Linked DNA regions of Coturnix japonica. The protein of the gene in region 1 interacts with the protein of each later gene in a pairwise test. Links are inferred from orthologs where the notes say so. Each region holds a gene or a part of one and is shown in the gene's direction. Other genes may lie near its edges.

What was found. The genes of interacting proteins can lie anywhere in the genome.
Region 2: the proteins of ID1 (region 1) and MYF5 interact in binary tests that used the Homo sapiens proteins (3 or more experiments, as listed by UniProt). The link is inferred for Coturnix japonica from reciprocal best matches to the Homo sapiens genes ID1 and MYF5.

What each region holds. Positions count from the first base shown.
Region 1 is NC_029535.1:9,035,770-9,040,000, reverse strand, and holds ID1 (DNA-binding protein inhibitor ID-1), read left to right. Parts: upstream 1-2,460; 5' UTR 2,461-2,513; coding exon 2,514-2,828; intron 2,829-2,981; coding exon 2,982-3,023; 3' UTR 3,024-3,252; downstream 3,253-4,231. UniProt on the Homo sapiens protein: Transcriptional regulator (lacking a basic DNA binding domain) which negatively regulates the basic helix-loop-helix (bHLH) transcription factors by forming heterodimers and inhibiting their DNA binding and transcriptional activity.
Region 2 is NC_029516.1:36,350,998-36,356,895, forward strand, and holds the start of MYF5 (myogenic factor 5), read left to right. Parts: upstream 1-2,073; 5' UTR 2,074-4,795; coding exon 4,796-5,302; intron 5,303-5,641; coding exon 5,642-5,717; intron 5,718-5,809; coding exon 5,810-5,898. Other genes in the region: MYF6 (myogenic factor 6), read left to right, coding at 544-1,062, 1,266-1,356, 1,464-1,582.

The sequences.
Region 1 (4,231 bases):
GTAACGGGTGCCGCTGGCCCCAAGGAAAGGTTGGGGCTGCACAGTGCCCTGCTCTGCCAGGAGCCTGATTCGGGGTAAAGCGGGTGCTGAGGAGATGTAGGTGTCGGGATGGTTAAGCTGGAGGCAAAGCACAACCCCAGTCTGGGTTTTGGGGTGTGTATTCACAGCTGGGGGCCTTCATTAGCTTGGAGGACACCCAGCCTGAATCCCAGTGTCTGCAGGTCTGTGCATCCATGCAGGTCCGTGCTGCTCAGCCACGTATCTGCATCCCAATGCACGCTACCACGATAACTCGTCCTTCCTGAGCCCGTCCTGCTGCTGTCGCCGCTTGGGCTGGGGGCTGCAAAGCCCATCCTAAGCCCCACCCCCCAAAATACGGCCCAGCTGCTGAGCCCCGCGCAGTGCTGGGTGCTGCCGTGGGGCTGTGGCCGTGTCCCCATCATCCCCACGTTACAGCTGTGCCCTGTGTGGTCCGTCCGGTGCCGCGTTGGGGGGATCGGCCGGACGCTTTGATGTGCTGTGCTGCTGGGCAACCCCAACACGGCGCAAAGCAGCCGCAATCCCGGCCAGGCTGCGCCCCGCCAGCGCCATATGGCCGAGACCGCTGTTACCGAACCGTGCGCCCCTTTCCCAGAATTGAGATGGAAATGAAGCCATCCGTCTTGCCCTGCACACACAGCGGCACAACCGCTCCCAACTGCAGCCAAACCAGCGGCGAAGGGCCGGTATCTCCATCATCCCAAGTGCCAAGGGGGTCCCTCAGAGCCACGCTGCGGGATGGGGTGGTGGTGGGACACCCATCGCTGTCCCCAAACCACCCGGGGTGGCCGATGCTCCGCGCTGGCTCGTCCCAGCCGTGCCGTATTGTTGGCTGCGCAGCTGGCGGGCGCCCGGCTGTGCTGAAAGGCATTCATTGCTGTGCACAATGTCCTCGGCCTCCCCGCCGCGGCCGGGCCAGCGCCGCCAGATGGGGGCTAATTAGTGGCTTTGAGAGCCGTGGTGGGAACCGGGCAGCACCAGGCCCTCCGCGAGGAACTGAATGGAGGGGGCGACCCCAGAGCTGTGCCCACCCTGGGAACCGCGCCGGGACAGAGGGACGGCGACAGAGGGGCTGGAGGTGCTCACAAAGGGTGGGGGTGGGGGGGCAGAGGGATGGAGGGACTGGGGGATGCTGCTCTCCCAGCCGGGCTGGCAGGGCAGAGACGGAGGTGATGGGGTTAAAGGCCCATCGTGTGCACGGCTCTGCAGGGCTGCCCCTCTTTGCAGAGGAGGAGGATGAGGGGAGGCCTTCGGCTCACTGCGTGCCACAGGAGGCTGCTGCGGCTCCGCATAGAGCCAGGGATGGAAACTGGGGGGGCGAGGGGGCTCTGACCTCCAACAAACCCCTGCCATGAGGGCAGGACGGCTCGGCTCCCTGCAGCCGCAGCAATCCCTGCACACCGACCCCATGCAGCTGGATGCACGTGCATCTGCCCATGCATGGGTCTGCATCTGTGTGTGTGTGCCGTGCATGGGTGTGCAGCTACAAGGTGTGAACCTCATGCACACACCTACGTGCCCACTTGTCCACACGGTTCCCGGAGGGGTCTCAGCTGTACCGGGGGGGGGGGGTCCCCGAGCAGCAGCCCCTCTCGATGCCGCCCGGCCCCCGCTGAACCGTGACCGCACCTCCCTGCAGGTGCGGGCTAAAAAGGTAGCGATCATTAACGCTAATTAACGCTTAGATCGGAAACCCTTTAGGGCAGGGACCGGGTTTCTGTTTTCGTCTTCAGACCGCACGAATGTTACCGCCACCCAACCGGCCCCAGGTGCCGCTCACCGGGGTGTCTCCTTGTCCCCACGGGGGTGGTCGTGTCCCGTTCCCGGTTCCGTCTGCAGTGCCCCCCCCCCCGCCCCCCCGCCCCACTCCGCCCCCGTCTCCATGGGCGCCGCCCGCCCGGCGCCGCGCTGACAGGCGACGGAGTTTTATAATGGGTGACGTCACGGCACTGGCGTCTAACGGTCTGGGGAGCGGGAGGAGGGGGGGGGGGACGAGGGGCCCGGGGGCTGCAGGTGCGGGGGGTCGGGGATGGGAGGGGGAGAGGGACAGGAGGAGAGGGGCTGCGGGTCTTGGGGTGCGGAGGGGGCACCGGGCTGGGGGGAACCGGGGGGTGCGGGGATCCCGGGGGGTGCGGAGAGAGACAGCGGCGGGAGCCCACGGTGTCACTGCCCACATGAAGGGTCTGGGTCGGGCCGGGCGTTTCCAGCTCGTATCCCGCACCCCGAGAGCATCACACCCCCTTGAACCCCCCTCGCATTCCTGAGCCCCCTCCCCACTCCGCTCTGCACACCGCGGTCCCTTTAAGGCGCTGCCCATGAATGGGGCCGGCTCAGCTGTCCCCGCCCCCTCTGCGCTCCTATTGGTCAGCGCTCTCCCGGAGGCCCCGCCCCCCCGCTGGCGGCGCTCTATAATTGGCGCAGCGCGGCACGCAGCTCCCACGGCCGCCCGCAGGGTCCCAGCGCCGCCGCTCGCAATGAAGGTCGCCTCTACCGCCCCGTCGCCGCTGCCCGCCGGTCCCGGTGGGGCTCTAAAGGCCGTTCGACCCGGGGAAGCCGCTCGTTGCGGGCCGGGACCTGGAGCCGTCGCTGCCGAACAAGCGGCCGCAGCGCTGCTGTACGATATGAAGGGCTGCTACTCCAGGCTCCGGGCGCTGGTGCCCACGTTGCCGCGGCACAGGAGGGTCTCTAAAGTGGAGCTGCTGCAGCATGTGATCGATTACATCTGGGACCTACAACTGGCTCTACAGCCCGGCCCTGCCCGGCCCCCGAATCCTGCTGAGCCCCCAGAGGTGAGTGCGGCCCCTCCCGGCCCGATGGACCCGCTCCCATCCTCCGTTCTCCTGTCCCGATCCTCCGTTCTCCCATCCCGATCCTCCTCCGCTTTGTGCCCCGTTCTGTGCCATCCCCATCCACACTGACCGCCCGCTTTTCCCCTCCCGCAGGCTCCGTGCATGGCCGCTGCCGACCGTATATTGTGCCGCTGAGAGACACCGACACGGACCCGAACGGAGCCCCCCCCCCCCCATAAGGGCACGGACGGGACCCGCATCCGAGAGCACGGAACGGACGCCCCTACGGAGCCGACGGCCGCGGCTCGTAACCTTCTCAGATTGCTGAGAGCATTCCATGTATTGTATATTACAATGATGCTGGAGAATATTGTTCTACAATAGCTGGAGTTTTGTTATTAAACAAGCCCTGATTACCAGGCAAGCTTCTTCCTCGTGGTTGCACTGTATGGGACTGTGTGGGGCTGGGGGGGAATCTGGGCACGGAGCATCGAACCACTTGGAGCCCATCTGTGTGCATGTGGTGTGGGAGCACTGGGGCTGGGTGCTGGTGCTGGGCTGTTCTGGGGCAGGTTGATGGAGTGGGAGCCCTGGGATGGAGCAGGGAGAGCATTGGGTGCACCTGGATCCCAGCTCCTGAGCTGGCCATGGGTTTTCCTATACACCCTGCAGGGCTGGGGGCTCTGGGTTGGCTCCTTGCTTCCCCCGGGGCAGCCATGCCTTCCCGGTGGGGGGTTTGTGGTGCAGGCTGCTGGCTGGGGCTGTCTGTACTGCATTGCTGGGGCTGTAGGTGTCACATCCCTGTCCCAGCATCGTACTTGTGGAGCCAGCTGCTTTGCCCTGGGATCACCACGTTTTGCTCAATCTGCCCTGGGTTCTAATATGGTTTGAGGCTGAGACTGGGCTGGAGGGAAGGAGGTTCCAGCCACTTCGGCTCCTGCCGTGGGAAATAGTATGAAGGCCCGGAGCTGCCCCCTGCAGGTGAGTGCCGGGCTCAGGGCTCCGTGCCCACCTGGGTTCTACACCTCGGGGCAGGGCTGAGCCGCAGCTGGGCCATCATCGGGCAGCTCCTGGGCCTGCCCTCACCCCGCAGGGCTGCCCGTGGCTCCCCCATGACTCACGTACTGTCACCTGTGAGTCACTGCAGCAGCTGGGACACAGCGTGGGACAGTCCCCCATGTGCTGCCTGGAGCTGCAGCAGCGGCTGTTGTGCCCGGGATGCTGCGGTGCTGCCCGTGCAGCTGCTGCTCAGCCCGGGGATCACGGTCAGGATTTGAGCGACATTCCTGGGGAGGGAAATTGCATCGGACACGGTTGTGTAACATCGGGGCTGTGGTGGCACTGAAGAGGTTTGTGTGCTCACACTGGGTACATCCCAGAGCAGGATGGGGGGCAACCCGGGC
Region 2 (5,898 bases), on another chromosome or scaffold:
CTTTGAAAGCCCTCTTTACAAAACCTATACTTGGCACTGGGGTAAGAAGTGGGTGCTGTGTGTGTGTGTGTGTGTGTATGTATCTGTGCGTGTGTGTGTGCGGCTGGGGAGGGCTCAGCAGGCAGCCCTGTGTCTGTGTTCCCTGCCAGCCCTCAGCAGAGCTGCCTGCTGGGCTCAGACACAGCTCCCCAAGCCCCCTCCTTACCACCTCGTCCCAAGTTCACAGGCCTCCCGGGGGGGCATTTCTCTTTGTCGTTTGTTTTCCTTTATTTCTTCTCTTTGCCTCCCTCTCCGTGTGCCCCCTCCTTCCCAGCCTTCTAAATAGGAGATGTTCTCAGGACAGCGCCCAGGAGACTGGCTGGAATCAGTTTTGGAGGGTGATGCACCGCGACAGCTAAAAGTTGGATAGGGTTTCAGTAGCTCCTATATATAAAGCAGTGGGGACTTATGTCACTGCACTAATTAAATTCCATCTGGGTTGCTCCTCGGGGTGTTTTTGAGCCTTCCACCCCACTGGAGCAAGCAGAGGGGCCGAGGGACAGCATGATGATGGACCTTTTCGAAACCGGCTCCTATTTCTTCTACTTGGACGGGGAGAATGGGGCCCTGCAGCAGCTGGAGATGGCAGAGGGCTCCCCGCTGTACCCGGGCAGCGACGGCACCCTGTCCCCGTGTCAGGACCAACTGCCGCCGGAGGCCGGCAGCGACAGCAGCGGCGAGGAACACGTGCTGGCCCCACCGGGCCTGCAGCCCCCGCACTGCCCCGGCCAGTGCCTCATCTGGGCCTGCAAAACCTGCAAGAGAAAGTCGGCCCCGACTGACCGGCGGAAAGCGGCCACGCTGAGGGAGCGGAGGCGGCTGAAGAAGATCAACGAAGCCTTCGAGGCTCTGAAAAGACGGACTGTGGCCAACCCCAACCAGCGGCTGCCCAAGGTGGAGATCCTGCGCAGCGCCATCCGCTACATCGAGAGCCTGCAGGACCTGCTTCACAGGCTGGATCAACAGGACAAAATGCAGGAGGTGGCGGCGGATCCCTTCAGCTTCAGCCCCAAGCAAGGAAACGTAAGCACGGCGGCTCGCTCCCTCCGGCGCCCAGCTGCGGGCCCGAGCTCCCCTCCCTCCTTCCCCTCCTCCTCCCCCTGACATGGGGCTGACGGCCGCGGGGGGAGGAAAGGGGGGGAACGAGGGGGGTCGGGGTAACGCGCGAGCCCCGCCGCCGCCCGCCCCGCTAACGCAGCGTCCCCTCTGCCCGCGCCCCGCCGCAGGTCCCCGGCTCCGACTTCTTGAGCACCTGCGGCTCCGACTGGCACGGCGCTGCCGAGCATTCCCGCGGGCTGGGGGGCAGCCCCAAAGCAGGTAACGGCCTCACATACAGCCCGGTGCTCACACACAGCCCGGCGCTCCCACCCCTCTGTCGGCTCCCGGCCGCTCCCGCTCTCTAACCCCTCTCTCCCGCCGAGCAGGGGGCTCCATGGTGGAGTCGTCGGCCTCCAGCAGCCTGCGCTGCCTCTCGTCCATCGTGGACAGCATTTCCTCCGACGAGCCCAAGCTGCCCGGCGCGGAGGAGGCTGTGGAGAAATGAGCCTCCGGCCGCCTCTCGGGGCACGCTCCCACCGGCGGAACGGCCCTCGGAGAGCGGAGCCGTACGGACTCTTTTCTCACCCCTCTTTCTATCTCCCGTTTTGTTTTCTCCGAGTTTTGACCCACAGACCACCCCCCATCCTCTTTTTTATCTTGAACTGACGGTACTTAGCGCTGTACCGGCGGAGCGGTCGCCGAGCAGTCCATTCCTGTCAGGGTGAAGCCGTTTGGCTGCGTTTCTTGTGAGTCGTGCTAAAGAGCGACCCCCGTCTCGTTTCCCGTCTGTAAATAATTTCAGTACTGCCTTTTGTAAACATGACAGATATGTATTTAAATGATGGAAGTGATATTGTATATAAGAACGGGTTCCTCTGACTGTAAAATAAAGCTCTTTGTGTTACCGCCTTCTCCTCCTGCTCATTAAACCCGGTCCCTCAGGTGATCCCCCTCAGCCCGAGGGAGCTTCCGCGACCGCAGCCCGTTTCAGCCGAACACTTCGGACGGGGCTCTCCGTGACCCCGCGCTTCCTTGTGCTTCGTTGTGATTGCAATTGAAGCGTTTGGGTTCGATACTAATAACTAATACCCAAGCCCGAAACCAAAACAGGGCCCTGGATCATATTATCGGAACGAGGTCTGTGGTTTAATCACGTCTGTTCTGCAGATCACACTAACGCAGGTGCCCCCTCCCGCTCCACCACCCCCCGTTCGGCGCTCACAGGCACGACCGAGCACTCACAGCCCGCTCCGGCTGCTGCTGCCTGCAGAGCGCGGACGGTTTTTGAAGCAAACGGGCAGCGGAATGGGAACGGGGGGCGGGGGATGAGCAGGCAAATAACGGGGCCATGTGCTCGCCGGGAGCCCTCCGGCAGCGGGAACTGCGACTTTCCCAGTCTCAAGGCTGCTAAAAGCCCCCGCGTGTCCCTTTGATCTCTCCTGGGAGTCCCGGAGTGCCGGCAGAGGCCAATGCCTTCCTCAGCTGTCCCCACCCGACCCCCCCCGGCAGGTAGCGATGTGTTTACTTAGGTGCACGGGGACCAAACGCGTCTTTCTCGGTGCGGCATCGCACGGACACAACTCTGCCCCAACGGGCCGATCCCGCAGCCCAAACCCGCATACCCCGCTGTTTCCGTCAGAAGCATTTTGTTGCAAAGGGCTGGAAGCCCCCTCCCCTGTAGCCGTGTGTGTGTCTGCGTCCCCCTCCCGTTTAGTTCCAGTCGCCTGCCGCACTTGTGGAAATTTGTTGTGAGATCACTTTACCAGAGGAGCTGGGCGCTCCCGAGGGACACCAGAACATGCTTTGTGTTGCACAGCTTCCCCTCTCCCCAACCCCCGATAGCCCAGCACGGTGGGCGATGCTTTCCCAGCCTCTCACGGACCGCGGTGCTCTCAGCCCCGGCCCCGCCGCCCCGCACGCACAGCGCCGGCCCGATAAGGAGCGAGTGTGTTTGTACACAAAGCTGTACACGGCTCTCCTTCAGCCGGAGCGAACGTCGTACATCAAATGGGGGGGGGGGGGGGTGAGCTACATCCCAGTGACGGGTTCACGTTACCGCGGAGCTCAGCCTTCCCGGCCGGCGGTTTAGGGCACGGCCGAGCTGCCCATGGCACAGGATCGACGTGCCCAGCCTTGCCTCTCTGTAACTTCAGTCGTGATAGCAACATTCTGCTTTCCCTGCTGGATTCCTTTCAGAGGGGGTTATCCCCACTTATGGACTCAAATAAGCCACTGCAGTGAAGACACAGCCCTCCCAAAGCCCCCAGATCTTTCTCATATTGAAGGCTGCATACACGTTTGCACTTTCCTTTAGAAGTTTCAGCCTAAGAATAGAAAATTTGTCCCATTTTTTTGTTTGTTTGTTTGTTTTCCTTTTTTTCTTCTTCTTTTTTTCCCTTGGCAGTAGAGGGATGAGAGTACAGGGCAGGGGTCCACAAGGGTCAGGGGTAGATCCTAACCCCAGACCCTGCTCACTGCCCAGGCAGGTGCAGAAGCTTTGGGTGGGCGCAGTGTCTGAGACTGTGTCCCTCTCAAGGCTCCTGCAGACAGCAGGGTGGCAATGCCCCTTCCTTCCCCTTCCCGCAGCCATTCCGCAGCCCCGTGGCCCTCTACTCCATCCAAATCACCGCAGGCTCCTTTCCCTCTTTCTGCGGTAGCCTAATCACATAATTCTATTCCCAGGTAGGGAAAGTTGCCTTTACAGTCTCCTAATGTTTTCCCCAACCGCCAAAGCCACCTGGCTGAAACCAAAGGGTTCCCGCACATTAGCAGCTGCCTGTTAAATGGCTTCATTACCGCTCTAATGACCCCTGCGCAGCTCTGCTCGCTACTGCAGCGGCTGGGCCTCCGCGGGGCTTTGTCCCTGCCCTGTGTAAAGTTACCGAGAGGTTTGGGGTTAGAAATTTTACACTTCCAGGAGGGGTTTGTTATGCCGGCAGCTGGGACGCATCTGTAACGGTGCGAGTTGGCCTGAAAGCAGAAAATCAGCGGGCCCGGGGCACTGTGCGGCTGTTGTGTCTCCAGCAGCATCAGGTCGCACACGGAGGAGAAGCAATGGGAAGGGGTTTGTCTGGCAGCAAACGCTCTTTGTGAGCGCTTCTCCGTCTGACCCAACCCAAGAGCACTAACATCTGTTTGCTCGCTCCTCGTTACACTTATCTGTCCTTGTTCTCCTCTCTTGTGGGAACGTAGCTTTAATTACAGCACAAAGTGCCTTCTGAGATCAGTGGGTGAATGTGAGTGCTGAAAGAGGAGTAAATCATGTCGAGTTGGATCTGGGGTGTGGGATCAGGGGTAGGAGAGCAGGCACTGTGGGTGTGGGGGGATTCATTCCCCTTGGTGATGGCAAGGTGATGCAGGGGCTGACGTGGGGAATGTCCATGGCCCATGCACTCACTGCCCATCTTTTTCTTTCCCTCTCCAAGCTCCCCAGATTGGTGTAGGCTTTAGAGACCGCTTGCCAGCTTGTCTGCTGCCCGAAGGCGGGTGAAGAGCAAATCAGCCCCCTGGGGGCCAGAGGGGGCCTGCCCAGCCCTGCAGGGGCTGCGGGGGATATGCTAATGGAGTCGGGCCACTGCGGGCCAGCCTCCTACGATGCGCATATATAATAGGGCCCCGCATCAGCCGGAGGCCACTTTGTCTCGGGTCGCTAATTGCAGAGGGAATCGCTGCATTGAGCTGCGAGCTGCCAGCCCACACTTCTGCCTAGGACGAAGAGATGGAGGTGATGGACAGCTGCCAGTTCTCCCCATCCGAGCTCTTCTATGACAGCTCCTGCCTGTCATCCCCTGAGGGTGAGTTCCCCGAGGATTTTGAGCCCAGGGAGCTGCCTCCCTTCGGAGCCCCTGCACCCACTGAGCCTGCCTGCCCTGAGGAAGAGGAGCACATCCGGGCCCCCAGTGGGCACCACCAGGCCGGCCACTGCCTCATGTGGGCTTGCAAAGCCTGCAAGAGGAAATCTACCACCATGGACCGGAGGAAGGCGGCCACTATGAGGGAGAGGAGGAGGCTGAAGAAAGTGAACCAAGCGTTCGAGACTTTGAAGAGATGCACCACGGCCAACCCCAACCAGAGACTCCCCAAAGTGGAGATCCTGAGGAACGCCATCAGGTACATCGAGAGCCTCCAGGAGCTCTTGAGGGAACAGGTGGAGAACTACTATCACCTGCCGGGACAGAGCTGCTCCGAGCCCACCAGCCCCAGCTCCAGCTGCTCCGACGCGATGGTAAGAGCAGGGCAGGGTGAGGGCAGCTCACAATGGGCTCGAGCAAGGGCCCTTGGCAGCGGGACTTCAGGAAAAGGTGGATAGCTTGGGTTATATTTAAAAACGTAGGACGGTTTGGGTTCCCACCGGCCCTTTCTCAGAGCTGAACTTGCACAGGGGCTTTGGGACACCCAGCCCCGGTCCCTGCTTGCCCTTTGTCCCCTCTGCTTGGGGCCGTGTGCGGGGAGGGAGGCGCGACCCCGCTGGAGCCCACCCGAGGGGCCACTGCCCGCTCTACCGGGAGGCTTTGGGGGGCTGCGGGGACGGACGGGCCGGCACTGGCCCCTCGCTGTCTTGCAGGCGGACTGCGGCAGCCCGGTCTGGCCGGCGAGAGGCAGCAGCTTCGAGGCGGGCTACTGCCCCGAGATGCCCCACGGTAAGGCCGGCGGCGGGCGGGGGGCCGGGGGCGGCCGGCGGGCGGGGGTCGCGGCTGGGCGGCCCGCGGTAAGAGGTTCGCCCCGGTGCCAGGCTACGCGACGGAGCAGAGCGGCGCGCTGTCCAGCCTGGACTGCCTCTCCAGCATCGTGGACCGCCTCTCTCCGGCGGAGGAGCCGGGG